4 linked regions of the Anolis sagrei genome follow. The protein of the gene in region 2 interacts with the protein of the main gene of each other region in a pairwise test. Links are inferred from orthologs where the notes say so. Each region holds a gene or a part of one and is shown on either strand. Other genes may lie near its edges.

What was found.
Region 1: the proteins of TRAF3IP1 (region 2) and OLFM1 interact in a two-hybrid assay, tested with the Homo sapiens proteins (2 studies listed by BioGRID and IntAct). The link is inferred for Anolis sagrei from reciprocal best matches to the Homo sapiens genes TRAF3IP1 and OLFM1.
Region 3: the proteins of TRAF3IP1 (region 2) and KIF5A interact in a two-hybrid assay, tested with the Homo sapiens proteins (2 studies listed by IntAct). The link is inferred for Anolis sagrei from reciprocal best matches to the Homo sapiens genes TRAF3IP1 and KIF5A.
Region 4: the proteins of TRAF3IP1 (region 2) and FRMD4A interact in a two-hybrid assay, tested with the Homo sapiens proteins (2 studies listed by BioGRID and IntAct). The link is inferred for Anolis sagrei from reciprocal best matches to the Homo sapiens genes TRAF3IP1 and FRMD4A.

What each region holds. Positions count from the first base shown.
Region 1 is NC_090031.1:4,765,190-4,772,527, reverse strand, and holds the start of OLFM1 (noelin), read left to right. Parts: upstream 1-4,337; 5' UTR 4,338-4,891; coding exon 4,892-5,041; intron 5,042-7,338. UniProt on the Homo sapiens protein: Contributes to the regulation of axonal growth in the embryonic and adult central nervous system by inhibiting interactions between RTN4R and LINGO1. Inhibits RTN4R-mediated axon growth cone collapse.
Region 2 is NC_090021.1:161,923,090-161,930,554, forward strand, and holds the start of TRAF3IP1 (TRAF3-interacting protein 1), read left to right. Parts: upstream 1-4,459; 5' UTR 4,460-4,562; coding exon 4,563-4,685; intron 4,686-5,877; exon of another isoform or gene 5,878-5,953; coding exon of another isoform or gene 5,954-6,067; intron 6,068-7,465.
Region 3 is NC_090022.1:186,121,797-186,129,612, forward strand, and holds the start of KIF5A (kinesin heavy chain), read left to right. Parts: upstream 1-4,805; 5' UTR 4,806-5,152; coding exon 5,153-5,281; intron 5,282-7,816. UniProt on the Homo sapiens protein: Microtubule-dependent motor required for slow axonal transport of neurofilament proteins (NFH, NFM and NFL). Can induce formation of neurite-like membrane protrusions in non-neuronal cells in a ZFYVE27-dependent manner.
Region 4 is NC_090025.1:93,271,266-93,278,896, reverse strand, and holds the start of FRMD4A (FERM domain-containing protein 4A), read left to right. Parts: upstream 1-4,629; 5' UTR 4,630-4,794; coding exon 4,795-5,061; intron 5,062-7,631. UniProt on the Homo sapiens protein: Scaffolding protein that regulates epithelial cell polarity by connecting ARF6 activation with the PAR3 complex. Plays a redundant role with FRMD4B in epithelial polarization. May regulate MAPT secretion by activating ARF6-signaling.

The sequences.
Region 1 (7,338 bases), on a different chromosome or scaffold from region 2:
GAGCAAGGGTTTGCATTATTTATTTATGTATTTATTTATATTGCATTCTTTCTGCCCCGTTTGCTGCTTAAAGTCCTATTATTATTATTATTACTATTATTATTATTACTATTATTATTATTATTATTATTATTATTATTCGATACACAACACAGCATTGCTTGTTGCGGTTTGCTTTTTTTGCAAAGTTGGTTTTGGGAAAACAGAGCAAGGGTTTGCATTATTTATGTATTTATTTATTTATATTGCATTCTTTCTGCCCCGTTTGCTGCTTAAAGTCCTATTATTATTATTATTATTATTATTATTATTATTATTATTATTTATACAACACAGTGTTGCTTGTTGTGATTTGCATTTTTGCAAAGTTAATTTTGGGAAAACAGAGCAAGGGTTTGCATTATTTATTTATGTATTTATTTATATTGCATTCTTTCTGCCCCGTTTGCTGCTTAAAGTCCTATTATTATTATTATTACTATTATTATTATTACTATTATTATTATTATTATTATTATTATTATTATTCGATACACAACACAGCATTGCTTGTTGCGGTTTGCTTTTTTTGCAAATTTAGCTTTGGGAAAACAGAGCAAGGGTTTGCATTATTTATTTATGCATTTATTTATATTGCCTTCTTTCAGCCCTGTTTGCTCCTTAAAGTCCTATTATTATTATTATTATTATTATTATTATTATTATTACTATTATTATTATTCGATACACAACATGGATGTTGCTTGTTGTGGTTTGCTTTGGCTTTGGGAAAACAGAGCAAGAGTTTGCATTATTTATTTATGTATTTATTTATATTGCATTCTTTCAGCCCTGTTTGCTGTTTAAAGTCCTATTATTATTATTATTATTATTATTATTATTATTCAATACACAACGTGGTGTTGCTTGTTGTTTGCATTTTTGCAAAGTTGGTTTTGGGAAAACAGAGCAAGGGTTTGCATTATTTATTTATGTATTTATTTATATTGCATTCTTTCAGCCCTGTTTGCTTAAATTCCTATTATTATTATTATTATTATTATTATTAGATACACAACGTGGTGTTGCTTGTTGTTGTTTGCATTTTTTGCAAAGTTAATTTTGGGAAAACAGAGCAAGGGTTTCCCTTATTTATTTATTTATGTATTTATTTATATTGCATTCTTTCAGCCCTGTTTGCTGCTTGGAGTCCTATTATTATTATTATTATTATTATTATTATTATTATTAATTGCTTGTTGTGGTTTGCATTTTTGCAAAGTTGGTTTTGGGGAAAACAGAGCAAGGGTTTGCATTATTTATGTATGTATTTATTTATATTGCATTTTTCAGCTCTGTTTGCTGCTATTATTATTATTATTATATTATTATTATTATTATTCGATACACAACACGGTGTTGCTTGTTGTGGTTTGCATTTTTGCAAATTTGGCTTTGGGAAAGCAGAGCAAGGGTTTGCATTATTTATTTATGTATTTATTTTAGCCCTGTTTTCTGATTAAATTATTATTATTGATATTATTATTATTATTATTATTATTATTATTATTATTATTATTATTGGCTTTTGCATTCGATCACACATCGGACATTTTCCACATCACAAGGACAGTGTGATGTATCGGTGAAAAATCCAAGTCGGGTGGCCTTTTGTAGCTGACAGGTGGTGATTTTGTCAGCACTAATTGTTTTTAAGTGCAGGCCAGGGTCTTTAGGCACTGTACCCTGTGTGCCAATCACCACTGGGACCACCTTGACTGGCTTGTGCCAGAGTCTTTGCAGTTCGATACCATGGCTCAGTGCTGTGGAATCATGGGAGTTGTAGTTTGGACAAGACACCAAGAGTTCACCATATTGGTCCAGTTTCTTCTTTCTCTCTTCTTTCTCTTTGCAAAAGGAATGTCCCCATCTTCCCTCCCTCCATCCTTCTCTTTCTTTTGCTTCCTCCATTCTTCCCTTCACTTTGTCCTCTCCTTCCTTTGCTCTCTTCTTCTCTTTCCTTCCTCTCTGTCTTCTTTCTCTCTTTGGAGCATTGCAGAATGGATCCTTCTTTTCCCTCTTTCCCTCTTTAGTTCCCACCTTCCATCCTTTCCTTCCATTCATCCCTCTCTGGAGCTTTACAAAAAGGATCTTTCCATTTTCTATCCTTTCCTTCCCCTTTTTTTCTTCCCTTCCTTCCTTCCTTCCTTCTTTCCTTCATCTGCATCTGTATTGCCAAATGAATGCAGTTTGCCACCCCTCCTTTCTTTTTTCCTCTCTTTCCCTCCCTCCCTCCCTCCTTCCTTCCTTTCTTCTTTTCTATCCCCTCTTTCTTTTCCTTCCCTTTCTCCTTCCCTTTCTTGTTTCCCTCCGGTTTCTCCTTCCTCTTCCTTTCTTTTCTCCTTCTCTTTCTCCTTCCTTCCTTCCTTCCTTCCTTCCTTCCTTCCTTCCTTCCTTCCTTTCTTCTCCTTTCTTCTTTTCCCTCCCTTCTTTCTTTTCCTTCCCGCCCTTCCCTCGTAACTTCCTTCCTTCTTTTTCCTTCCCTTCCCTGGAGCTGTACAAAAGGAATCCCTCTTTTCCCTTCCCTTTGTCTTTTCCTTCTCTTCCTTCCTTCCTCTGTCCTTTCATTCCCTTCACTTTCTCCTTTCTTTCTTTCTTTCTTTCTTTCTTCCTTCCTTCCTTCCTTCCTTTCTCCTCCTCCTCTTCCCTTTTCTCCCCTCTTTCTCTCCTTCCTTCCTTTCTTCCTTCCTTCCTCCCCTTTCTTATTTTCCCTCCTCTCTTTCTTTTCTTCTCCTCCTCCCCTTCCCTTTTTCCTCTCCTTCTCCCCTGCCTCCTTCCTTTCTTCCTTCCTTCTCCTTTCTTCTTTTTCCTCCCCTTTCTTTTCCTTCCCTCCCTCCCTCCTTCTTTCTTTTCCCTGAAGCTTTACATAAGGAATCACACCCACTCCTTTCCTTCTCCTCCTTCCTTCCTCTGTCCTTTCATTCCCTTCACTTTCTCCTTCTTTTCTTCTTCTTCCTTCCTTCCTTCCCCTTTCTTCTTTTCCCTCCCCCTTTCTCTCCTTCCCTTTCCCCTTCCTTCCTTCCTTCCTTCCTTCCTTCCTTCCTTCCTTTCTTCTTTTCCCTTCCCTTGCTCCTTTCCTTCTCCTCCTTCCTTCCTCTGTCCCTTTCATTCCCTTCACTTTCTCCTTCTTTTCTTCTTCTTCCTTCCTTCCTTCCCCTTTCTTCTTTTCCCTCCCCCTTTCTCTCCTTCCCTTTCCCCTTCCTTCCTTCCTTCCTTCCTTCCTTCCTTTCTTCTTTTCCCTTCCCTTGCTCCTTTCCTTCTCCTCCTTCCTTCCTCTGTCCTTTCATTCCCTTCACTTTCTCCTTCCTTTCTTCCTTCCATCCTTTTCTTCCCCTTTCTTGTTTTCCCTCCTCTCTTTCTTTCCTTCCCTTCCTTCCTTCCCTTTTCTTCTTATCTCTTCCCTTCCCTTACTCCTTTCCTTCTCCTCCTTTCTTCTTGTCCCTTTCATTCCTTTCATTTTCTCCTTCCTTCCTTTCTTCTTTCCTTCCTCCCCTTTCTTCTTTTCCCTTCCCTTGCTCCTTTCCTTCTCCTCCTTTCTTCCTGTCCCTTTCATTCCTTTCATTTTCTCCTTCCTTCCTTCTTTCTGTTCCTTCCCTCCTTCTTTCCTTCCTCCTCTTTCTTTTCTCTTCCCCCTTTCTTTCCTTCCCTTTCCCCTTCCCTTCCTTCCGTCCTTCCTTCCTTCCTTCCTTCCTTCCTTCCTTCCTTCCTTCCTCCCCTTTCTTCTTTTCCCTTCCCTTGCTCCTTTCTTTCTCCTTCCTTCCTCTGTCCCTTCCCTTCAGTTCTTCTCTTCCATTCCCTCCCCACTCTTTGCCCTTCTCTCTCTGGAGGTTTGCACACACACACACACACACACACACACACACACACACAAATCCTTCCTTATGGGAACTTCAGGAGATCAATCCTGCCCTCCCTCTTCTTCCCTCTCCTTCTCTCCCTCCTTTTTCCCTCTTCCACCTTCCCTTCTCTTCTTCTCTTCCATTCCTTCCCCACTCTTTGCCTTTCTCTTTCTTGCACACATTCTCTTCCACACACACACACACAAATCCTTCCTTATGGGAACTTCAGGAGATCCATCCTGCCCTCCCTCTTCTTCCCTCCCCTTCTCTCCTCCTTTTTCTTTCCCTTCCACCTTCCTCCCTTTCCCTCCACCAGAGGGAAGCCAAACGCCAAGAGTGGAGGCTGGAAAGAAGGGAGAGGAGGAGTGTTGGGGGGCCCCTCCTTTTCTGTATCCCAGAGTGGCCCCGCCCACTCTGACGTCAGAATGCGCTTTCTGGGGGCCCCTCCCTCCCCTCCCGCCCCCTTTGGCTCAGTCCTCGCCCGGCCAAGCCTTTGCAAGGAAGGCAAGAGAGAAGCAGCTGGTGGGGGAAAGGGAGAAGAGGAAGAAGGAGGAAGAAGAAGGCTGGGGAGGGGGAGAGCCAGCCAAAGCATTGCAGAACCCTCCTCTGATTGACTTGTTGTGGAGAGCTGCTCTCCACTCAGCAAAGGATTGGCAGGAGCTGTCCATTTCAGCACCACTCCGCGCAGCCTTGGAGCTGTCCATTCAGCACCAGGATCTCTCCTGCGCGCAGCCTTGGAGCTCTCCCTTTCAGTACCGGGAGCTCCCTCTCTGCTTTCCGCCTTGCCGGGATGGGGCGGGATGGCCTCCTCTCCGGTGCCGCCTCCGCCCAGGATGCCGGGGCCGAGGCGCAGGGCATCCCGGCTGCCGCGCTCAGGGAACCCGGCTCAGAATGAAGACGGAGGAGGATCAGGAGGAGGTAGCGGCCGGAGTGCCTGAGCGGCGGAGGCGGCGGAGGAAGGGGGTCGGAAAGGGAGGCGGCGGCAGCGGCAACGGTGGCCCCCCAGCGCCACCATGTCGGTGCCCTTGCTGAAGATCGGCGTGGTCCTCAGCACCATGGCCATGATCACCAACTGGATGTCCCAGACCTTGCCCTCCTTGGTGGGGCTCAACACCACCAAGCTCACCGCCGCGTCCGGGGGCACCTTGGATCGGAGTACCGGAGTGAGTGTCGGGCGTGGGAGGGGCTGCGTGGGAGGGGCCTCACGGGTGTGGACCTCACAGGCACCCATCGTTTGTGGCCAACTGAGTCCAGAATTCTCAGCTGAGGGACCTCAAGGGTGACTTAACCTTTTGTGGGGTTTGTGGTGGATTTTGGTGGATTCCTTGGGGATTGTGATCTTGCAGAGGTGAGCGTCCAACAGGGAGGTTCTTGGTGGTCAAGCAAGTCCAGAATTCTCGGCTTAGGGATCTCAAGGGATGAATGAGCTCGGTAGCCTTAACCAACAGGGAGGTTCTTGGTGGTCTTCCCAAAATCTCCAGGACCTCAAGGGAGGGTAGAGGTTGGAACCAAGTTATGGAAGAGAAGTGGGTATGGACCTCACAGGCACCCATTGCGGGTTGTGGTCAAGCAAGTCCAGAATTCTCAGCTGAGGGACCTCAAAGGATGAATGAGCTCGGTGCCTTAACCTTTTGTGGGGTTTGTGGTGGATCATTTGTGGTCAAACGAGTCCAGAATTCTCGGCTGAGGGACCTCAAGTGATGAATGAGCGAGGTGCCTTAACCTTTTGTGGGGCTTGTGGTGGATTCCTTGGGGATTGTGATCTTGCAGAGGTGAGCATCCAACAGGGGAGGTTCTTGGTGGTCTTCCCAAAATCTCCAGGATCTCAGGGAAGGGTAGAGGTTGGGACCAAGTTATGGAAGAGAAGTGGGTATGGACCTCACGGGCACCCATTGCTGGTTGTGGCCAAGCAAGTCCAGATTTCTCGGCTTAGGGACCTCAAGGAATGAATGAGCTTGGTGCCTTAACCTTTTGTGGGGTTTGTGGTGGATTCCGTGGGGATTGTGATCTTGCAGAGGTGAGCGTCCAACAGGGAGGTTCTTGTTGGTCTTCCCAAAATCTCCAGAACCTCAGGGGAGGGTAGAAGTTGGGACCACGTTATGGAAGGGAAGTGGGTATGGACCTCACGGGCACCCATTGCTGGTTGTGGTCAAGCAAGTCCAGAATTCTCAGCTTAGGGACCTTGTGGTGGATTCCAACAGATGGAAACCATGATGGTCTTCCCAACATCTCCAGGACCTCAGGGGAGGGTAAGGCTGGGACCAAGTTATGGAAGAGAGGTGGGCATGGACCTCACGGGCACCCATTGCTAGTTGTGGTCAAGCAAGTCCAGAAATCTTAGCTGAAGAACCTCAAGGGATGAATAAGCTCGGTGCCTTAACCTTTTTTGGGGTTTGTGGTGGATTCCTTGGGGATCATGATCTTGCAGAGGTGAGCATCCAACAGATGCAAATCAGGATGGTCTTCCCAACATCCCCAGGACCTCAGGAGAGGGTAGAGGTTGGGACCAAGTTATGGAAGAGAAGTGGGCATGGACCTCACGGGTACCCATTGCCGGTTGTGGTCAAACAAGTCCAGAATTCTTGGCTGAGGAGCCTCAAGAGATGAAGGATCTTGGTGCCTTAACCTTTTGGGGTGTTGGGGGCTGATTCCTTGGGGATTGTGATCTTGTGGAGGCAAGCGTCCACCTGATGCAAATCAGGATGGTCGTCTCCAACATCTCCAGGACCACAGGGGAGAGTACAGGTTGGGACCAAGGTATGGAAGAAAGGCAGGTTCCTCTTCTTAACATCTCCTGGACCTCAGAGGAGGGTACACGTTGGGACCAAGGTATGGAAGAGAGTTGGGTTCATTGTCCATCCTCCTGGACCCGAGGAACCTCGATGTGATAGGTATCTCAAGTTCCTCACCTTTGGGGAGGTGATGGCAAATCCCATTGGGATTCTGACCAAAGATATGGAACCTAGAAAGATAGTCATGGAAGGAAGGATTATCAACTAGATGCAACTCAGAGAGGTTCTTGATGGTCTCCCCAACATCTCCAGAACCTCAGGAGATGGTCTAAGATAGCTTTGGGATTCTGACCAAAGGTATGGAGCCTAGAAAAACAGTCATGGAAGTCAGATGATGGAAGTCAGATGACTTCTTGATGGTCTCCCCAACATCTCCAGAACCTCAGAAGATGGTCTAAGATAGCTTTGGGATTCTTATCACAGCTATGGAAACTAGAAAGTCATTGCAGATCCCATTGGGATTCTGACCAAAGGTATGGAGCCTAGAAAGACAGTCATGGAAGGATCACCAACTAGATGGAACTCAGCTTGGTTCTTGGTAGTCTCCTCAACCTCTCCAGAACCTCAGGAGATGGTCTAAGTTAGCTTTGGGATTCTTACCAAAGCTATGGAAGCTAGAAAGTCACTGCAGATCCCATTGGGATTCTGACCAACGGTATGGAGCCTAG
Region 2 (7,465 bases):
AGACAAAGAGGTCTCAGCATGAATGTTAAAATCTCCCAGCACCACCAAGCGCTGGGAAACCAGGGCTGAATTAGAGACCACTTCCGCTAGCTCAGACAGGGAAACTACTGGGTCGCGGGGTGGGCGGTACACCAGCAGAAACCCCACACTGTCACGGTTCCCCACCCTCAGGAGGACACACTCGAACCCAGGTGCTTGCGGTACAGCGCAAACTACATTTCCCGAACTACAGTGCTTAGCATCTGAAGGACCCAATGGCACTAGCCATTGAAATGTTTCTTTGATTTTAAATGTAATGTATTGTATATGTATATTGTAAACCACTCCGATCCTTCAGGGGGTGGCGGTATATAAAATTGATAAATAAATAAATAAATCATCATCATCATTTAATTACTTATTAATCGCCCTCCATCCGAGAATGCTCCAAGTGATTTACAGTTAAATTGTAAAAGATAAAATACATACATACAAAAATTAAAATTAACAGAGATCGAATGCTCTAGTAAAAAGCCAGGTCTTAAGTGCGAGAGTAAAAGGCCCTAAGTCACGCATGGCTCTCATGTAGGGCGGCAAGGAATTCCATAAGTCCGGGGCAGAAATAGAAAAAGCCCTGCGCCTGGTCCTTTCCAAATGCACTTCTCTAGGACCCGGTATATAGAGTAAGTCACGTTGGGCTGGTCGTTGCGACCTCCAATGATGGGAGAAGGAGAGGTGGTCCCTAAGGTACGATGGAACCTGGCCATAAAAGATTTTAAAGGTCAGAACTAACATCTTATACAGGCCACGGTACTCAGTTGGAAGCCAATGTAAGTGTTGCAGCACTGGTGTTATATGGCATTTCATGGGCTTTCTTGTGAGTAACCTGGCTGCCGTGTTCTGAACGATACGAAGCTTTCGGGTCGTAGACATCGGAAGGCCAACATACAGGGCGTTGAATAGTCCAGCCTAGACGTGACCGGCATGGATGCCAGAGCCTCGTCAGATAGGTAGGGTGCCAATTGCCTCGCTTGTCGTAGATGGAAAAAGGCCTGTTTGCTGGCAGCAGCAACCTGTGCTTCCATTGTCAGCTGCGAATCCAAAACGACACCCAAGCTCTTAACGGTAGGCGAAGGAGATAGGGCGGCACCATCGAAGGTGGGCAACGGAGGAGTCAGACCTGCCGGGCGGCCATGCCAGAGAATCTCAGTCTTTGCTGGGTTCACCTTCAGTCTGCTAGCACGCAGCCAGTTCGACAGAGCTTCCAGACATAGGGTGAAATTGTCTGGAATTGACGTTGCTCCAGGCTCCAGGCGCAGAAGGAGTTGGATATCGTCTGCATATTGGTAGCAGTCCAGGCCGAAACTCCGAGCCAAACTAGCAAGGGGTCTAACGTAGATGTTGAAGAGGAGAGAGAATAAAATTATTGAATCTGAAAAGAGGACTAAAGTAAGTAATAGTATAAAGCTGTGCTAAGTTGAAGTTCTCAGGTTGTGTGTCATAAAGGCAGACATTCAAAGGGATTGCTGCTGTCACTTCTTGGGGGGATCATTTGTTTTTGTCTAAACTTTTAAAAATCCCCCAAAATCTGTAGATGTGTTAATCTTTCTGAAATTTCTGAGGATCAATGCCTTGGTTATCTTGTGCATTGTATATGAAATTCCAGGAGATAGCTCTTGTAGTTTTTATAAAAGAAAAATTGTTTGTAAAAAGTTCAAAATTTCCCCCAAAATTAGTGAATGAGTGTAATGTTCTTAAACTTGGCAGGCTAACAGTGGAAACTGTGATACAATTAGAGCAAGTTTTATCATGATAGCATTAAAAAAGTTAGTGCAATTAAATCCTTCATCATTTCCGGATCCTCCTCCCGATGTTTTACATTGTCCTATGTCCCAGTGTTTTAAAATGTTATCCTTGAATTTGGCCCTGCCCAGTGAAATCTGTTGTGTTTTAATGTTTGATTTTATATTGTTGTGTCGCTTATTATATTGGTTTTGCATTTTATGTATTTTATTTTTTGGTTTTGTTATGTTTTTGTGTTATATTGTGTGTACTGTACTGATGGGCGTGGCCTCGTGTAAGCCGAACTGAGTCCCCCTGGGGAGGATGGAGCGGGGTATATATAAAGTTTTTATTATGATGATGATGATTATTATTATTATTGAGGAATCTATTCGAAACTAGGGAAGGGGGTTTATATATCTGTGGTTTAGTGTCCAGGGTGGGAGAAAGAACTCTTGTCTTTTTGAGGCAGGTGTGAATGTTGCAATTAGCCACCTTGATTAGCATTTAATGACCCTTTGCAACATTCACACTTGCCTCCAACAGGCAAGTGTTCTTTCTCCCACCCTGGACATTATTTCACAGATAAATAAACATCACTTTCCTAGTTTCCAACAGACCCCACAACCTCTGAGGATGCCTGCCATAGATGTAGACGAAACGTTGGGAGAGAATGCTTCTGGAACATGGCCATACAGACGGGAAAACTCACAGCAAGGCAGTGATTCCAAACATGAAAGCCTTCGACACCATAATTGAAGGCCTATTTGCAATGGCAACCCTCAAGCAACCAGAAGTAAAGACTTCCTGTATATATTTCAGATTTCAATATTGCATTGTCGAAGGCTTTCATGACTTCTCCGAGTAGTCTGATATGGTGGTTGTTAGAGTTAGACTACTCAGAGAAGCCACTGAAATCCACAAGCATGTGGACAATTTCAACAGAAAGGAGGAAAACCATGAAAATGAACAAAATCTGGCTACCAGTATTAAAAAAAACTCTAGAATTACAACAGCAAAACAACACAAGGGAAACTATTTATTGATTTATTTCGTGCATTCCTACCCCGCCCTTCTCAACCCCCGAGGGGGGACTCAGGGCGGCTTACAAAAGGCACAATTCGATGCCAACACAAACAATAAGATAAAACATATATAAACAGCAATTTAAAACAAAACAATCAAACAATTATAACATCAAAATCAATAAAACCAATCTAATGCTCAACGTTCGCCAGCTCAGAGTCCGTAGATTCATTCCACATTGTCAAATCCTATCAATTCTAGTCGTCGATTGTCCTTTGTTTATCTGCCAGATTACCCAAAAGCCTGGTCCCATATCCATGTTTTTAATTTCCTTCTAAAAGAGAGGAGGGATGTTGATGACCTAATTTCCCTGGGGAGTGAATTCCACAGGTGAGGGGCCACCACCGAGAAGGTCCTGCTCCTCGTCCCCACCAACCTCACTTGTGATAGAGGTGGGGCCGAGAGCAGGGCCTCCCCAGAAGATCTTAAACTCCGAGGCGGGACGTAGAGGGAGATATGTTCAGACAGATACGCTGGGCCGGAACCATATAGGGTTTTGTAGGTCTAGACCAGCACTTTGAATTGTGCTCGGAACTGGATTGGCAGCCAGTGGAGCTGACATAACAGAGGGGCGGTATGCTCCCTGTATGACACTCTGGTGAGTAATCTGGCTGCCGCCCGCTGGACTAATTGAAGTTTCCGAACAGTCTTCAAAGGCAACCCCACGTAGAGTGCGTTGCAGTAATCTATGCGGGATGTAACAAGAGCGTAGACCACCATGGCCAGATCAGACTTCCCAAGGTATGGGTGCAACTGGGACATCTAATCACCTCTCAACAATCTGGAACATCTAATCACCTCTCAACAAAAGATTGCCCCAGGCACTGCCAGGCCATCAAATGCTAATCAAGGTGATCAGTTGGAACATTCACACCTAGTTCCAACAGACAAGAGTCCTTTGCCCCACCCTTTTCCTAGTTCCCACAGACCTCACTACCTCTGAAGCTGCTTGCCCTAGATGCAGGCGAAAAGTCAGGAGAGAATGCCTCTAGAAGAACATGGCCATATAGCCCGAAAAAATCTACAACTCATTCACACTTGCCTGCAACAGACAAGTGTTCTTTCTCCCACCCTGGACATTATTGCACAGATAAATAAACTTCGCTTTCCTAGTTTCCAACAGACCCACAACCTCTGAGGATGCCTGCCATAGATGTAGGTGAAACGTCAGGAGAGAATGCTTCTGGGAAAACTCACAGCAAGGCAGCCATGAAAGCCTTCGAAACCACAATCGAAGGCCTGTTTGTAATGGCAACCCTCCAGCAACTAGAAGTCTATATTTCAGATTTCAATATTAATGTCAAAAATACGTGGTATGATTTTACATAGGATTTGTTCTACATTAAAACAGTAAAGACAAATATCACTTAAGCAAAAGAAACATTAAATAACCAGAAAAATAAAACTCCGTGTACCCTGCTGCACCTGGCAGTCCCCGTGGGCGCCGGTCAAGGGAGACTCTCCAAAAGCGATGGCCCTGTTGACAGAGGCCTAGAGAATGCGAGAGGGCGGAGCCGTCCATGACGTCACCATTTCCCTCCCCCTGCGTCCAATCGGGAGGGCGAGGAGGCGGGGCGGACCGCGCGCCGCCCGGTTGCTAGGCTGGCGGAGTTGGGTAGCAACGGCGGCGGAGGAAGGAAGGCAGGCGGGCGGGCGCGGGGCGCGCCGGGAGTTTGCGAGGGGCCTGGTCCGGTCCGGGCAGTCGGGGCGCCGCCATGCAGGGCTCCATGGTGCGGCGGACGCAGGAGCTGCTGGGTCGAGTGATACGGAAGCCGCCCCTCACGGAGCGCCTCCTCAGCAAGCCCCCCTTCCGCTACCTGCACGACGTGATCGGGGAGGTCAGGCCCGAGGAGGGAGGGAGGGAGGGAGGGAGGGAGGGAAGGGGCGCGAGGGGAGGGGGGCTGCGCGCGTGCCCCGTTGCTAGGCGACCAGAGGGAGGCCTTGGCCCTCACAGAATGCAGGCGTTGGGACTGCAAGCCAGGAAGAGGAGTGCCCACAGTCTCCATGCAGTGGAGCAGTGGAGATGGTTATGAAAACGCTCTTGGGTCGTCACTAGTGTAGAAATAGATAAGAGTTTGTTGTTCACAATCACTGTTCATGATTGGGCCAGGGCCTCATAAACCTTCTCCACTCATGACCCCTTTTTGTCCAAGACAGGTTTCTGTGACCCCTTTTAATTATTGACCCGTTTTAATTACAGATTGTCTAACTATGTATTTTAGCAATGGTTGTTTATTTGCTGTCGGGTTCTATTATTATTTGATACTTCACTTCACTTTATTTCTTAATTAGTCGCTCTCCACCAAGGTGCTCCGAGCAACTTACAATCTAAAATAGCAGTTACACAATATAAAAACATTCAACATAACAACATTCAACAGTGACTATTTGGCAAATTAGATCTGATTACTGAAATGCACACTTACTTACTTACTTAGGCGATCCCTCATTGGACGAGTAAGATGGTCTTCCTTGATGACTATTTTTATGGGTTTGTAGGTGGCTGTGGAGCCCTATTCTTGACCTGCATTTTCTCCCACAGTGAAGGCATTGGTTTCCAGGTGGAAGGTGGTCCCGGTCATGGTTGGCTTGACGTGCCTTCCTCCTGGCACATTTCTCTCTTTCACCCTCCACTTGTGCTTCCTCGAATTCTGCAGCACTGCTGGTCACAGCTGACCTCCAGCTGGAGCGGTCAAGGGCCAGGGCTTCCCAGTTCTCAGTGTCTATGCCAGAGATTTTAAGGTTGGCTTTGAGGCCATCTTTAAATCTCTTTTCCTGACCACCAACATTCCGTTTTCTGTTCTTAAGTTCAGAGTAGAGCAACTGCTTTGGGAGACGGTGGTCAGGCATCCGGACAACGTGGCCGGTCCAGCGGAGTTGATGGCAGAGGACCATCGCTTCAATGCTGGTGGTCTTTGCTTCTTCCAGCATGCTGACGTTTGTCCGCTTGTCTTCCCAAGATATTTGCAGGATTTTCCGGAGGCAGCGCTGAAGGAATCGTTCCAGGAGTTGCATGTGACGTCTGTAGACAGTCCACGTTTCGCAGGCATAGAGCTGGGCTGAGAGGACAATAGCTTTATAGACAAGCACCTTGGTATCCCTACGGATGTCCCAGTCCTCAAACACTCTGCTTCATTTGGGAAAATGCTGCACTCGCAGAGCTCAGGCGGTGTTGTATTTCGGTGTCGATGTTGACTTTGGTGGAGAGGTGGCTGCCAAGGTAGCGGAAATGGTCAACATTTTCTAATGCTACACCATTAAGTTGTATCTCTGGCGTTGGCACAACCAAACAGCCAAGTCTTGAGTGCCTTTACAAAAGGTCGCAACTCTGACATTGCTCTAATGTATGGAGACAATGAGTTCCACAGAATTGGAGTATAGGTTGAAAAAGCTCAATGCCTTGTAGCTTCCAGGTGTACCTCCCTAGGGCCCGGTATGTATAGGCAGGGGTGGCTCAACCCATTACGCAAAGTAAGCATTTGCAGTATAGTTGATTTTGCCCAGGGGCGCTCTTGAGGCGCTCTTGGGGGAAAATAGACCATGACATATGCGAGTTGTAGTTACTGGGAGGTATAGTTCACCTACAATCAAAGAGCATTCTGAACTCCACCAATGATGGAATTGAACCAAATATGGCACACAGAACTCTCATGACGAACAGACAATATATATCAGTGATGGGTTGGGGGGGGGGGCAAAGTACTGTTTGCTTACGGTTGAAAATTACCTAGGGCCGCCTCTGTGTATAGGAGATTTTTCTGGGTGGATCGAGGTGACCACTGATGGAGAAAAGGATTGAGGCGGTCCCTAAGATATAAAGGTCCTTGGCCATTTTGAGCTCTAAATGTCAGGATCGGTATCTTGTAAGAGATCCGATGTTCTATTGGTAGCCAATGCAGTTGTTGCAGAATCGGTGTAATATGGGAACTTATAGATGATCCCGCTAGCAGCCTGGCCGCTGCATTTTGGACCATCCAAATCTTCCGGGTTGTTGACTTTGGAAGGCTGGCATATAAGGCGTTGCAATAGTCCAACCTCGTGGTGACTGTTGCGTGGATTACCGTTGCCAATGCTTCTACCAAAAGGTAGGATGCCAATTTCCTTGCCTGGCGAAGATGAAAAAAGGCCTGCTTACTTATGGCAGTGATCTGGGCCTCCATCGTCAGCGATGAGTCCAACACAACCCCAAGGCTTTAAACAGTGGCAGACGGAACCAGAGCTTCCCCATCGAAACCAGGCAGAGACTGGATTAATTCTGGCGGCTGGCCGGGCCAGAGTATCTCAGTTTTTGCAGGATTCACTTTTAGTCTGCTCGCTCGCAGCCAACTCATCACTGCTTCCAAACACAGCCTAAAGTTCTCAGGAATCGCGGTTGTCCCAGGTTCGAGACGCAAGAGTAGCTGGGTATTGTCTGCATACTGGTAGCACCCTGCCATACGTTGCTGTGGCCCAGTCTGGTGATCTGGAAAATAAAGTAATTCGAAAGTGTTGGTTTCTAATATATGTAATTTCTTTATACTTGTGGGTAAACACTATTTCTTGCTGTTTCTTTGTCAGTGTTAATGTGATGGTTATCTGGTTTGCCTACATGTGACATATCATTGTCCTTCTCTAGGGG
Region 3 (7,816 bases), on a different chromosome or scaffold from region 2:
TTTTAACCAATGTATGTATTTATATGTGGCATCTAATTGTGCCAATTTGTATGCTGCCCTAAGTCGCCTTCGGGCTGATATGGGCGGGATAAAAGTAACGTAAATAAATAAATAACGTGAATAAATAAATAAAGGTAAAGGTTTTCCCCTGTCATTAAGTCCAGTTGTGTCCAACTCTAGGGGTTGGTGCTCATCTCCATTTCTAAGCCGAAGAGCCGGAATTGTCTGTAGACGCCTCCAAGGTCATGTGACTGACATGACTGTATGGAGTGCCGTTACCTTACCACAGAAGTGGTACCTATTGATCTACTCACATTTGCATGTTTTCGAACTGCTAGCTTGACAGAAGCTGGAGCTGACAGCGGGTGCTCACGGCGCTCCCCAGATTCAAACCTGTGACCTTTCGGTCAACAAGTTCCGCAGCTCAGTGGTTTAACCTGCTACACCACTGAGGGCTCCATATATGGCAGTGTAGACTCATAGGATTCAGTTAAATGCCATTAATTAGCATTCTGAAAATGTATTATTATGGCAGTGTAGATCCGGTCCCAGACATAATTTTTTAAGCTTCATTCAACTCAACTCATCTGGAAGAAATGAAACTAGTTGGCAAATCATTGCAGCAGCTATGCTCTTGGCTCGCTTAGGGCCTGATGCTAGTGCTACTACCATCCTCCCTAAAAATAACTGCATTTCTGGTATTGTTTTTCCTTCACATGTCAGCTCAATCTGATTGTTCGGTTTTGCTACATCTGTCTAAATGGCTGCTTATTTCCTGGAAGAGTAAGCAGTAATGATGATTAAAAGGTTTACTGTATGCCCATCTTCCAGACTAGAGCATTACTCAGAGGACTGAGAGGCCGAACAAAGAGTGGAGTATCTTGGATTATTGTAATGTATATACCAAGGTGGGTGTGTGGCCAGCTTTCTAAAGGATGATCCTCTCTGAAGGTATCCTCTGTTTGTACACATCCAGTTTAAATATGAAGAACCATTGGAAAGAACAGCTGGAAGGACTAGCAGTTTAAAGTTGCCTACCCACAGTTAACGTTTGGACAACACAGAGGTCACCAGATTGGAGATTTCTCCACTGTGTTGAGATAGCTAAGATTTCTATTGAAGCTTGCATATATACCGGGTGTTGCCTGGATGTCAAAGGGTTTGCTGCCCATCTGCTTTCTCCCTTCTCCAGCTCTGAGAAGACTTACTTCACAATGTCTTCATGGCAATGCTCTGGCAATGGTGGACATATTCTATCTTGCCTTCTTTTCCCTGTTTCCTTCATACACCTTCTTCCTCTCACTTTCCTTTCTCTCATTTCTTCCTTCATCTTTTGCTTTCCCTCAAAAAACCTCCCCCTTCTTCCTTCCCTTCCTTCCTTCCTTCCTTCCTTCCTTTCTCTTCCTTCCTTCCTCTTTCTTTCTTTCTTTCTTCCTTCCTTTCTTTCCTTCCTCCCTTCCTCACTTTCCCAATACATATGTTTCCTAATAGAATCCAAGCTGTTTCACTCCCTTCCTTCCACAGGCCCCTTCCACACAGCTGTATAAAATCCATGTTGAACTGGATTATATGGCAGTGTGGACTCAGATAATCCAGTTCAAAGCAAATATTGTGGATTATCTGCCTTGATATTCTGCGTTATATGGCAGTGTAGATGGGCCCTCAGTGACATCACAGAGGCCACAACACCTAGCAACAGCCAATACTTTGTTCCTTTTCTTTCTTTCTGTACTGAGCCCGAAAGAGATGTGTTTTTAGTTTGAATCCCTCAATTATTTTAAGTTGAATAATAAAGGGTATATGTGCCAAGTTTGATGTAGATCTATTAAGCCACATAGGAGCCTTTGTGGGCCAAATGTGCAAACCAATCATACTTTGACTATATATATAGTGATAATTTTCAAATTTGCATGTTATGCAAACCCATGTCCACTTTGACTCTCTCTTTTTTTTTAATGATCCAATTGTTTTGTTTGTGGCAGTCTGTAAATGGGAGCGAATATGGGTAGAGGTGAGTGCCAATAGCACCAGGAGTGAAAAGGCCAACACCTTAGGCCCCTTCCACACAGCTAAATAAAATCCCACAGGTTCTGCTTTGAACTGGAATATATGGCTGTGTGGAAGGGGCCAACTGATTTCTACACAATATTCCCCCACTTTCCTTGTAACTATATTCTTTCAATAAAAATTTATATATCTATATAAATAAAAATGTAATGTTCGTTTGTGGCATTAACAGAACTCAAAACCTACTGGACAAATTGACACCAAATTTGGACACAAGACACTTAACAACCCAATGTATGTCCTTCATGCAAAAAATATGATTTTGTCTTTTGGGAGTTGTAGTTGCTGGGATTTATAGTTCACCTAAAATCAAAGAGCATTTTGAACCCCACCAACGATGCAATTGAACCAAACTTGGCACACAATTCTCCCATGATCAACAGAAAATACTGGGAGGGTTTGGTGGGCAGTGTCCTTTGGTTTTGGAGTTGTAATTCACCTACATCCAGAGATCACTGTGGACTCAAACAGTGATGGATCTGGACGAAACTTGGCACGAATACTCAATATGCCCAAATATGAACACTGGTGGAGTTTGGGGAAAATAGAATCTTGACATTTGGGAGTTGTAGTTGCTGGGATTTATAGGTCACTACAATCAAAGAGCATTCTGAACACCACCAATGATAGAATTGGGTCAAACCTCCCACACAGAACCCCCATGTGGGCCACAGCAACGCATGGCAGGGGAAAGCTAGTGTGTGTGTGTGTGTGTGTGTGTGTGTGTGTGTATATATATATATATATATATATATATATATATATATATATATAAAGATTTGTTTCTTCACTCATTGTGTGGTGTGTTTTAAAGTCAGAGGGCATTTCCCTGACCTGGAGTGCAACAATGATGAAGAGTTGGAAGCGACTGAACGAATAAACAACAACAACCAAGTTAGGGAAACCTATCACTGGATTTTCCAGGGCTGAAAGCGTATGGCTTGCCCTTGGCCAATTAATAAAGGACATCATGGCATGCCGATTCCTTGTGCCCAAGTTATGCAGCAGCATCCTGATCCTGAAGCCAAGGTGGTGTAACATAGTTAAATTGCCAAACAAGGGGGAGGGTGTGAGGGGGCTGCTAGAGTTGTTTTTAATGGGGGGGGGGAGGATGGGGGTAGTTCTCTGCTCAGCCTTCCCTTACTTACTTTCTTACTTACTTAGGCGGTCCCTCGTTGGCCGAGTAGGATAGTCTTCCAGGATCAGTATTCTTGTGGGTCCGTTATGTGGCTGTGGAGCCCTATTCTTGATCTACGTCTCCTTCCTCAGTGAGGGCATTGGTTTCCAGGTGGAAGGCGGTCTCAGTTGGGGTTGGCTTGACACGCCTTCCTCTTGGCACGTTTCTCTCTTTCACCCTCCATTCGTGCCTCTTCAAATTCTGCAGCACTACTGGTCACAGCTGACCTCCAGCTGGAGCACTCAAGGGCCAGGGCTTCCCAGTTCTCTGTATCCATGCCAGAGTTTTTAAGGTTGGCCTTGAGCCTATCTTGAAATCTCTTTTCCTGTCCACCAACATTCCATTTTCCGTTCTTGAGTTCGGAGTGGAGCAACTGCTTTGGGAGACGGTGGTCGGGTGTCTGGACAATGTGGCCGGTCCAGTGGAGTTGATGGCGGAGGAGCATTGCTTCAATGCTGGTGGTCTTTGTTTCTTCCAACATGCTGACGTTTGTCCGCCTGTCTTTCCAAGGGATTTGCAGGATTTTCCGGAGGCAGCGCTGATGGAATTGTTCCAGGAGTTGCATGTGACGTCTGTAGACAGTCCACGTTTCGCAGGCATATAACAGGGTTGGGAGGACAATAGCTTTATAAACAAGCACCTTGCTTACCTTCAAAGCCCTAAACGGTTTGGGACCGGCCTACCTGCGTGACCGCATTTCCATCTACGAACCCACGCGTTCTCTTCGGTCATCTGGAGAGGCCCTGCTCGTGATCCCACTGGCGTCGCAAGCGCGCTTGGTGGGGACACGGGACAGGGCCTTTTCCGTGGTGGCCCCCCAACTCTGGAACACCCTCCCCAAAGACCTTATACAGGCCCCGTCATTGGCTGTCTTCAGAAAGAACCTAAAAATCTGGCTTTTCCGATGCGCCTTCCCAGATTAGGAAATCTTCACTACTGAGTCCCACAAGCACTTTACCAGAACCAATGATTGCTGCACACCGCACATCGCACTTGCCCTAGAAACCCTTTATACACCTCCTGTCAAACCAGCACTTTTAATTCTTGTACCCACTTTTTGGCCCGGCCCAGTTTTATTGTGTTTTAATGTATTGTGCCTACTGTTTACTTTGCTTTATTTTGTTTTTAATTGTTTGATTTGCTTGATTGTACTGTTATGTTGTGTTGTTGAGGCCTTGGCCTGTGTAAGCCGCATCGAATCCTTTGGGAGATGCTAGCGGGGTACAAATAAAGTTTAATAATATCCCTACGTATGTCCCGGTCCTCAAACACTCTCTGCTTCATTTGGAAAAATGCTGCACTCGCAGAGCTCAGGCGGTGTTGTATTTCGGTGTCCATGTTGACTTTGGTGGAGAGGTGACTGCCAAGGTAGCGGAAATGGTCAACATTTTCTAATGTTACACCATTAAGCTGTATCTCTGGCATTGGAAAGGGGTTGGCTGGTGACTGCTGGAACAGCATTTTGGTTTTCTCAATGTTCAATGACATACCACCTTAAGGCCGAGGAGATGGCTCCTCCTTAAAAGCGGTACCATTGGACCTCTCCTCCAGCCCAGCCCTTTGCCTGCTGCTGCTGCTGCCGGTGTCTGCAGCAGGAGGGGAAGGAGGGAGGAGAGAGATCCAAGCGCCGCAAGCATCAGTTGCAGCAAGAGCACCAGGAGGAGGAGGACTCAGGCAGAGCAGCATCCCGGGAGCAGAGCCTGCAGCAGGAGGAGCGCCAGCCCAGCCCAGAGAGAGCCTCGCCGCTCTGCTGCTGCTGGGGGGTGACAGGCAGGGAACCAGGCTCGCCCATCGCTCGCCCTCCTCTCTCTGCCCTCCTGCGCCTTTCCCCGGGAATCGCACCCCACTCCAAGCCCTCGCCGCCCCTCTTTCTTCCACCCTCGCAAAGGAGAGCCTCCACCCGCCAGCATGACGACGGAAGTCAATGAATGCAGCATCAAAGTGCTCTGTCGCTTCAGGCCCTTGAATCAGTCGGAGATCATCCGGGGGGATAAATTCATCCCGGTTTTCCAAGGCGATGACACCGTCATCATTGGGGTGAGTGAAGGGCGAGGAAGAGGTGGGCCGGTGGGGGTCTCTGGGCCCTTCCACACAGCCCTGTATTATCCCACAATATCAAGGCAGCAAATCCCACCATATCTGCTTTGAACTGGGTGCCCTTCCACACAGCCTTATATCCCAGAATATCAAATCAGGAAATCCCACATTATCAGATATTGTGGGATTTTCTGCCATGATATTCTGGGATATAGGGCTGTGTGGAAGGGCCCTCTGTCTCTGTCGCTTTCTGCATATATAACCCTTTCTCTCCATCCCTCCCTCCTTTTTCCCCCCTCTCTTTCTCTCCACTTCTCCCCACCTTTCTCCCCCATCCTTTTCTCTCTCCCCCTTTTCCCAATCCATCTCTCTCCCCACCTTTCTCTGTGTGGCCCTTCTGCATAGCCATATTAACCCAGAATATCAAGGCCGATAATCCACAGTATCTGCTTTGAACTATCTGAGCCCACACTGTCATATCATCCAGTTCAATGTGGATTTTATACAGCTGTGTGGAAGGGGCCTGTGTACCCACTTCTTTCTCCTTCTTTTTCTCTCTCCACCCCCCTCTCTCTCTGCCTCTTCCCTTTTCTCCCTCTCCCTTTCTCTCTTTCCCACCTTTGCTCTCTCCCTTTTTCTCCCTTTCTCTATTTTCCTCTTTCTCTCTCACCTCTCCCCCCTTTTCTCTCTCAGTTTCCCATTTACCTTCCTTCCTCTTTCCCCTTTTCTCCTTTTCTCCCTTTCTCTCCCTCTCCTTCTTTCCTCCCTCTCTTCCTTTCTCTCTTTCACTCTCTCCATCTCCCCCTTCCTTCCCCCTTTTCTCTTTCCATATTTCTTTTCTCTTTCTCTCCCTCCATCTTCCTCTCTTTCTCCCTCTCTCCATTCCTGTCTTTTCCCCCTTTTCTTCCTCCCTTTCTCTTTCTCTATCCCCCTTTCTCCCTCTCTCCTTTTCTCTCCCTCTTTTTCTCTCTCAATCTCTCTTTTCCCTTTTCTCCCTCTCTCCCTTTCTCTCTTTCAACCCCCCTCTTCTCCCTTTCTCCTTTCTCTCTTTCCCACCTTTTTCTCCCCATCTCTTCCTTCCTTTTTCTCCCTTTCTCCTTTTCTCTTTCTCTCTCCCCGCATTCTCCCTTTCTCCTTTTCTCTTTCCCTCTTTTTCTCTCTCCATCTTTCTCTTCCCTTTTCTCCCTCTCCCCTTTCTCTTTTTCTCTCCCCCTCTCCCCCTTTCCCCCTCTCTCCTTTTCTCTCTTTCCCACCTTTCTCTCTCTCCTTCTCTCTCTTCCCTTTTCTACCTTTCTCTCTTACCCTCTTTCTCCCTCTCTGGGCCCTTCCACACATCCATAATAACTCAGAATATCAAGGCAGATAATCCACAATATCTGCTTTGAACTGGGTTATGAGTCCACACTGCCATATAATCCAGCTCAATGTGAATTTTATACAGCTGTGTGGAAGGGGCCTCTCTCTCCACCTCTCTCTTTCTGTCCACCTCCATCCCTCTCTTCCCACTCTTCCTTTCTGTGTGTGTGTGTTGGGGAAAATTGGGAGGCCTGCTCCCTATGGATTGCTCTTACGCTCCACATCGATCCTCTCCCAAGGCGTCCATTCAGTTCTGTGATCTTGATACAAGCTGCTTGTTTCCTTATGAAACCCCTCAGCTCAACATTCCCCCTCCACCTTTAAGAAATTGTCTTTTCGACTTGAAAATCCATTTGTATAAACATGCTCCACCTATCACTCTCTGAAAACCGGTAGCAGGGAAGGATGCTTGGAGTATCTGCTTCCATTTTTGTGCCATTACTGCCTCCCTCCTTAGCTCTGCAGGCTTGGTCAGCTGGGTGTGGCTAGCTGGGCTGTTGGTTTGGCCACTGGGAAGAAAAGAGCCCTTGGGAGCTGGGAGGGAATCTACAAGCCACTTTCCTTTCTGACTGTCCATCCATCACACGGCCCATATGTTATCTTGCCTTTCCAAACCTTAAGACTCCATCCTTCTAGCAGCTAGTCTGCTTGCGCCTCCTGAGGTTAACATTCCCAAAATGCCCAAAGGTCCCCTGCTTACACACCACCTGTAATTTTTTAAACCCCCCCTGCTCTTATCCATAATCCAGTGAAATATTCCATACTGACTTCCATCTGTGCAGTATAAAGATCAGGGCTAAAATGGTGCAGGTGGCTAGCTAAGGCGCCTGGAGGTTGTTTACTCGGAAATGGCAACGCCCCTGAAGCTTGTCCCTGTGGTCCTTGTGCTTGCCACTTGGTACCGTTCTGGGCTTTCAACCTGCTGATTGTTTGGATTTTCCCGTTGCTAAATCCACCATCTGTCAGAGTAGAAGGAAGGGTGGTAATGCGTTTTTCCCCCAAGGGGATGAACATGGTTATGCTCCCAGTGCCAACTTGCTGGTGCTATGCCCAACAATGGTGCTGACATCTCCTCATGCAACTGTTTTATTGCAGAGAGGGACACGCTGCTGAGTGTGTGGTTGTGAAATGAGTCGGTTATCTGCTTTGTATGGCCGGCCAACTGATGTGAGTGTGCCC
Region 4 (7,631 bases), on a different chromosome or scaffold from region 2:
GATATTGTTGTTGTTCCACCTTCCCTGAAACCCAAGGCCGCTGCATGGACATTCAGAGAGCAGCCAAGGGTCTCAGGAGATGTTTAATGGTAGCTATGACAACTGATTGTATTCCTCCCTCTTGACATCCAAGACCACCATGTAAATTATTTCTTCCCAAACTTCACATCTGTAATCACACAATATATTTGCATAAAATATCATAACATTGACAATTTTACTACCATGACCATTCCTAATTATAATCTAACATGGAATTCATCTGTTTCACAGCTGCCAGCCTCTATCCATCATGATGTCAAGATTTCATTCCTAGTCACGCACCACTTCCACTGATATTTCGAACAATACGCAGTTTCCCAGAGTCACACTGGATAACAACTTGTTGACAGTCTGTAGGGAGGAATATTTCTAAGAATGGTTCTTTCTTATCTTGTTATGGAGAGATTAATTAGAAGGGTCAGTGACTACTCATACTTTCCCAGGGTCATAAAGTACTTTTATGTACAGAGAATGCTTAGACTGGTAGTATCTCTTGTTAATAACAATTCTAATCCCAGGTATGTTACTTTGTCTCCAGCCCAGTGGCTTTCAATATTTCCAGAATGAAAACACAAACTATAATAAATCACAAATCATAGGATGAACCTAAATAGACCATATACTTGTTTTAGTTGTGAATACGTCATCAGTTTGGAGAGAAGGAGAAGTTACCCTGTTTCATGTATTGACATCATTTCTCGTGAATTCCTGTTTCTGTCTCTCGGTTGCACATTTCTTGTATCGGTTTTCTTAAATGGAGAGTGGCACTAGGATCTCAACAGCAATGGGTCACAATGGGAAGGGGAGAAAACAGCAGAGAAGAGAGGAAATGGGAAAGTGCTTGCTTTTCAATGGCTCCCAGTTGTTGTTTTTTGGAAGCTCTCTGTATTATAATCCAATATATGTCTATTCTACTGCACCATGGCCCACTTTAATATGGTTGCAGATGGTGACAGCCTCTTATCTCTTATCCCTTCGTGCAGTGCAATCCAATACATATCTATATAGAGTGCCCTCTAATGACTGCAGTGAAATTTATTTTATTCTGTACTCTGAAAGTATCCCTTCTGCTGGATCTGAGACGGTGGGCAAGCAAGGAAGCTGCTGCTTACACATGTTGGCTCCCATGGGATAAAAGACAGCACAAGTGCATATCTGTCAGAAAATGTGGCCTTTTCTGGACAAGAATGTGGACAGAAAAAATATTAAGGTCTGGATTCTTTAGAAGTAAATGTGTTTAAAGCAAAAAAAGTTACTTTTCAGGCTACTAGTTGTAGACTATGGGAGTGGTAGCTGATAGTTACTGAAGGATGCTTCCATAATGTGAATTTAAAGGGGAAATGACATAGCTTCTGTCCTTGCCCCCTCTATTTCTGCCACTACCCACTTCTCCCTCTTCCTCTCTACTCTTTGATCTGTCAGCAGCAGAAAATTCCAGAATTCTGAACTGATTGTTTCCAGGGCCTTTCAAAATTAGACAAAGAGCTCCATTAAACCTTGGGTTAGGCAGATGATAGTTGGACCATCTGAAGTTCTCACATGGCATTATCTCAAGGGATATTCAATGTTCAATGGCAGTATATCTCTTTAGTGCCAAACAGAAGAGCTAAATGTCAGAGGATGCCTGTTAGCATCACAGCATGACCTGTCTGCTTAACATTCTGAAAATCTTTTGACTATATAGGGGATAGATGCAAACAGCGGCTCCCAACCTTGAAATCTCAAATGTTGGACTTCACCTCCCAAAGGTTTAGTAAGGGATTCAGGGAGTAGCATTCAACATCTGGATAACCAAAAGTGAAACCCACTGGACCAGGTAGATATGATCCATCAAGGAATTTCTCATATCCTTCTGACAGAAATGAATATCAGATATGACTTCTAGGAGATTTCTGGGGGGTTTGTTTTCCTGGCAGCAAGGATAAAGCATGAAAATGCCATTATCTGCTCATGTGGAATGAATATTCATACACAATTTTTCAGTGAAATTCAATCACACACTACCATAGCTATTTTAAAGAAGATCAAAGGCAGAAAGATTTGAATGAAAGTTTAGATCTTTCAAAAGGAACCTGTGGTTTAGAGCTATAGGAATAAAAAACAAGACGAGTCTAGCATATCTATATCAGCAAAACTGAACATTTCAAGTATCTTTCCCAAATCTCTAGCCATAAAGAGCTACTTGAAAGTAATGTGAGTGGGAGCCATGCTGCTCTCTAACTAGAAAACTATTGCTCAGAAGTTGGGAAAATAGAGAGATACACAAATCTAATAATTGTGTTTAATTGTCTGGGGAGCTATAGTACAAAAGCTCAGGATTTCTTTCTGTAACACCATTCTTCCTGTCCACATGTTCATGTCCATGTGTTGCTCTCCCCCAAGTTTCACATGAAAAAGGAGAAATTTCAAAAACACAGTAGAAGAGCCATCCAATAAAAAATATGAAAAGAAGAAGATCCAAGAACACACATATACTTGTTAGAAGAAGACACAGGTCCTATAACCACCTGTAGCTTTCCCTGGAGAGCTTGAGAAGTTGGCTTTCTTGAACTCCTCATTAAAAAGGATTAATCATTTAGAAAAACCCAACAAAAGATGGGCCTCAACCTGCTCCTAAAAAGCAGCCACTTACCTGAGAATAATAGTTTGACTAAACTGTTTGTACTGAACTAGAATAAGGCTTTGTGACACAACTGAATAAGTGACGTGACACCGTATTGTCGAAGGCTTTCATGGCTGGAATCACTAGGTTCTTGTGGGTTTTTTTTTTTTTTTGGGCTATAGGGCCATGTTCTAGAGGCATTTCTCCTGATGTTTCGCCTGCATCTATGGCAAGCATCCTCAGAGGTAGTGAGGTCTGACGTGACACTATTTCCCCTTACCCTTCGGATTCCTTTCAGTTTTCAGATGGTCCTTGAACAATATTATTCTGTAAACTGTTACATAGTAATAAGTGGGTCCTTTTTATATTCTCTGTCCTTCCAGCTCCTTTTCACACATCCCAAGAAAGCCTTCAAACCATGATTGGGATATCTTAGTGTATTTGCATTTTAATAAGTCCAATTAAATTCAATAGGGCTTGTTTGTGGGTAGAAGTACATGGTAAGGGTTATTCTGTCCATCTGCTTACCCAAGACAGTTTGTTGCTCAAATCAGAACAGCAAAAGGGGTCTGCTATTCATCCTAAGTGGAAGTGCTTAATACTTCAAACCAGGCAAATTATGTTTGCACATGACTTCCACAAGTACCTCTCTACATTGTTAGCAATAAAAAAACAGTAATGTCAAAGCAAACAATTTTCTATCATATAACAAAAGTTAATCATGGCAGAGACAACCCACCCAGTACAACTTCCCATTATCTATTAAGAAACTAGCTGTACCCGCCACGCGTTGCTGTGGCCACCCTTCCCTATCTCTTTCTCTCCTTTCTTTCCTTCCTTCTTTCCCTTTTTTCCTTTCCTTCTCTCCTTCTTCCCTTCTCTACCTATCTTGGACTGCAACTCCCAGCAGTCCTCCTACCTACCTATCTCTATCTAATCTATCTATCGGGATGATTGCTGGGAGCTGCAGTCCAGGAATAGGAAATTGGAAATATACAGGGATTGGGATGCTCTCAAAGAAATCCAAGGAGAAGAAAGCTTGCATCTAGGAAGCAGTACATTTGGACCATCCTCCTCTCCTGAACGGCCTGGTCTAGGGGATACTGGGAGCTGTAGTGCGAAAGAATGTGTGGATATGCTATTGTGTGTGTTTGGTTTTTTGTTGGGGTTTTTTTGGCCCGGGAGTTATTTTTGCACATGCACTGTAGCATCTTTTTGCTTTTTTGGCTTTTTAAGTCCCTTCCTCTGTGTTTTTCAGTGTTATTGTGAGTTATCATCATTCATTGGCCTGATAGGTGGATTGTGTCCAAATTTGGTGTCAATTCGTCAAGTGGTTTTTGAATTATGTTAATCCCACAAGCGAACATTACATTATTATTTATATAGATATGCTGTAGCACTTTGTTTCTATTATGGATACATCATCAAGAACCTGCACCCTTGGGTTTTCTCCCAATCAACTGGCCTTTTTGATAGAACTATGTAGAACCTTTTTTACATTTGTTTGTGGAAATAGTCACTTTTTTAGGAACACACTAGTTCACCTGCTATGAAATCTTACCAAGTGAAAGCTATTCCTATTTTCTTTCTCAGTAAGTCTAATGTGCTCTTAATAATGGCAAGACTAGGAGAAATGGCAAAGCCTAACTTAGATGACAGTTCCACCACAAAACTACAATAACTATCATGATACATGTAATAATAATAGCATGATGCACATATTCTACAATGTGCTACAAAACTAGTCTCCTGTGGTTGCACTTTGCACCTTCAAGAGTTAAGCGGGAAAATGGAATGTCTTGAGAATGTTGGCAGAGAAGCAGAGAGAGAGAAAGAGAGAGACAGAAAAGGCGTTTGTTTTCCATCCTCTCTGGAAGAAATCCCGGTACTTTGGAGGCTAAAGTGATGATTCTTAGTTTAAGTTTGTTTCTTAGTGCCTTTGCTTGGGGCTGAACAAAGAGAAGGAACCTGCCCAGGACACCCCAACTTATTCAGAAAGAAGGGGCAATTTCCAAATCTCTTTGCAGAGTATATTTCTGAATGTCCCTGTTGGATCTGGCAGTGGAGAACCTGGGAAAATAATTCCCTCTGAAGAGCAACTCCCACCAAAATGGGTTGCTTTGGCTTCAGCTTTCTCCATTTTTTATTTCATGGAAAATTACTTTGACATTTTAACCTTGACGTTTTTTAAAGACTTTTTAAAAATCAGCAAACCACACAGGAATACCAGTGCTAGACCTTTCGACTTGCTGCTTGGCATGGCCGCTGTACTTTTAAGGGTTGAAGACTTGATTTACAGTTGGGATAGCCTAGTGTGGAACCTGACTACGCGGGTCCTGGGGACTTGCCGGTTCAGAAATCTGCAGGTCGTACGGCTAATGCTTAAACCATGGTGCATCTCCAGAGCTGTGTATCAGGTAGAGTAACATTATTTAAATATATGGTGGTGAAAGATGTGGGAAGAGATTATCCCTAGGTCATTTGGAAGAAAGTATCTAGATACCTCGATCAGCAATTATCCTTGTCTTCTTTGGTAATAATTCTTAAAGTTTCTTGTGCAGAGGTCTAGTATTCTAACTGTTATTTAATGTAAGACAGGCTAAACAATCCAACATTTTAAGTTCCATAAAACTCCTGGATAGACCACTTGGGTTACCTATTTCTGGGAGTATATCTCTAAACATTTGGGTTACCTAACTCTGAATAACTAAGATGCCAAATTTTCAATATGTTTATTTAGTTATTTTCTGTATTACCAGTTCTTTAAAGTAATGTCAGCATTTATTTATTTATTTATTTATTTATTTTAGATACTTTTGAGCTAGTCTTTAGTACCTGTCCAGGGATGACCTAGCTATGGTGATCCAGGCCACAGTCATCTCAAGACTGGACTACTGTAACGCCCTCTACATTGGCCTTCCTCTGTCGGTGATCCGGAAGCTCAAGTTGGTACAAAATGCAGCTGCTTGGCTTCTTGCGGGAATTCTGATGAGATGCCACATAACACCAATCTTACTACAGCTGCATTGGTTACCAATTGAGCACCGGATCACTTTCAAAGTGATGGTACTCACCTGTAAGGCCTTGCATGGTCTGGGGCCGATGTACCTGAGGGACCGCCTCACCCCCTACCAACCCCAGAGATCCCTCCGTTCTGAGGACCAAGATCTATTGGAAGTCCCCAGTGTCAAGACCTTGCGTCTAACAGCAACCAGATGCAGAGCCTTCACAGCAGTGGCACCATCACTCTGGAATACTCTGCCACCTGAAGTCCGTGCCTTGCGGGACTTACCAGCTTTCCGCAGGGCATGTAAGACATACCTGTTTTGACAGGCTTTTAATGCTTGATATTGCTGTTTTTAAATTGTTTTAAATTGCTTTTAAATTTGTTAGATTTTAGCCATTTTTGTAAGCCGCTCCAAGCCCCAGGGGAGTGGCGGCACATAAGTTCAAATAATAAAATAAAATAATAAATAAATAAATAAAGTTTACAGAGCCAAAGGGCTCAGAACAGAAGGGCAAAAGCAAGCTTTGGGGGTATAGTCTGAGTTGCAGAATTCCAACTTGCTGGAATAAAAATATGGTAGTTCAAGAAAAGGAGAGCCATCTTTTCCATCATTATTAATTACATTATCCTTATTAACAGATAGATCGGCTGAATTTGTTTCCTGCTGCCTTGTTATTAGTAATGCTTCTTACGGCCCATTTAATCTCACTCCTCAGGATGTCCGGTTCTAATTCACTCACCACACCGTCAAAGCTATCCTCGATATTATTATCCCTCCTGTACAGATCTTCTGTACAATCTTGCCACCTTCTCTTGATCTCTTCAGCTTCTGTTAGGCCTTGCCATCTTTGTTTTTGATCATACCCATTTTTACCCGAAATTTACCTCCGATATTTCTAATTTTCTGGAAGAGATTTCTTGTCCTTCCTATACTATTGTCTTCTTCCACTTCCATACATTTCTTGTTTAAAAATAGTTCCTTATCTCTTCTGGCAAACTTCTGAAATTGTGTATTTAATTAGGCATATCTCCCTCTATCACTATTCCTTTTGTTTTCCTTTTTTTCTTGGGCTACTTCCAGTGTCTCAGCAGGCAACCATCTTGCCTTCTTGGTTTTCTTTTTCTTTGGGACATACTTTGTTGCTATCTTCTGAACAAAGAAAGTCCTAGGTTGACATTATTTCTGAAATGTAGATGGAACAAGCCATACATATTTTGAAATGCTGATGTGATACACAGGAAGTACCAAAATATTTTTTTGCTAGAAGCAGAAGCCAAATGGCACCTAGTACTTTCTGCTAGGAGTATTATTATTTTTTACAGTCTTGGTGCATATTATTTCTTGTTGAGTATTATCTGTCTTTGTTTACTCCATTGGGCTACTAAGGCAGGCAGGGGCTTCTTGCTAGAATTGGATATTTGTGTAGAAAAAGGTGAGCAAATGGAGCCAGTTTCAAAGAAGTATGTTTGATTTGTAAAGGGTGAAAGTGGCAGTCTCTTTTATTAGCCATGCACAAACTTTTGCCAAGGTGTCTTTCGGTGCCATGTGTTTCCATTAGGCTTCTCCTTTCTTTTTCAGTGGCCAATCAGCGGCAGGGGCTGCAACCTGGCAAATGAAATTGCTATTGCTCTCTTCGACCTCTTCTGTAATGCCTCGCAGCCCTCCCACCCCCAACTCAGCTACTGATCATTTACAACCTGCCCACAATAATCCAAATACTAGCAACAATTACACAACAAAAAGATTACATAACATAGATTCTGGATCTTCTGTTTTGGCATTTCCTGTACCTGTTTCAACCCATTTTCAATTTTAGGAAAACATCATTATTTCTCCCTCTTACTATAACATGGCTTTTGGAAGAGTTGGAAAGATTTTTCAAAGTTTTCATGCATTTCTGTAAGAGACACAAAAATGAAAGTTGTGTAACATTTCCTCACTGGATGGACTAGTAATATTAGTAGCATTGAATAAGTTGT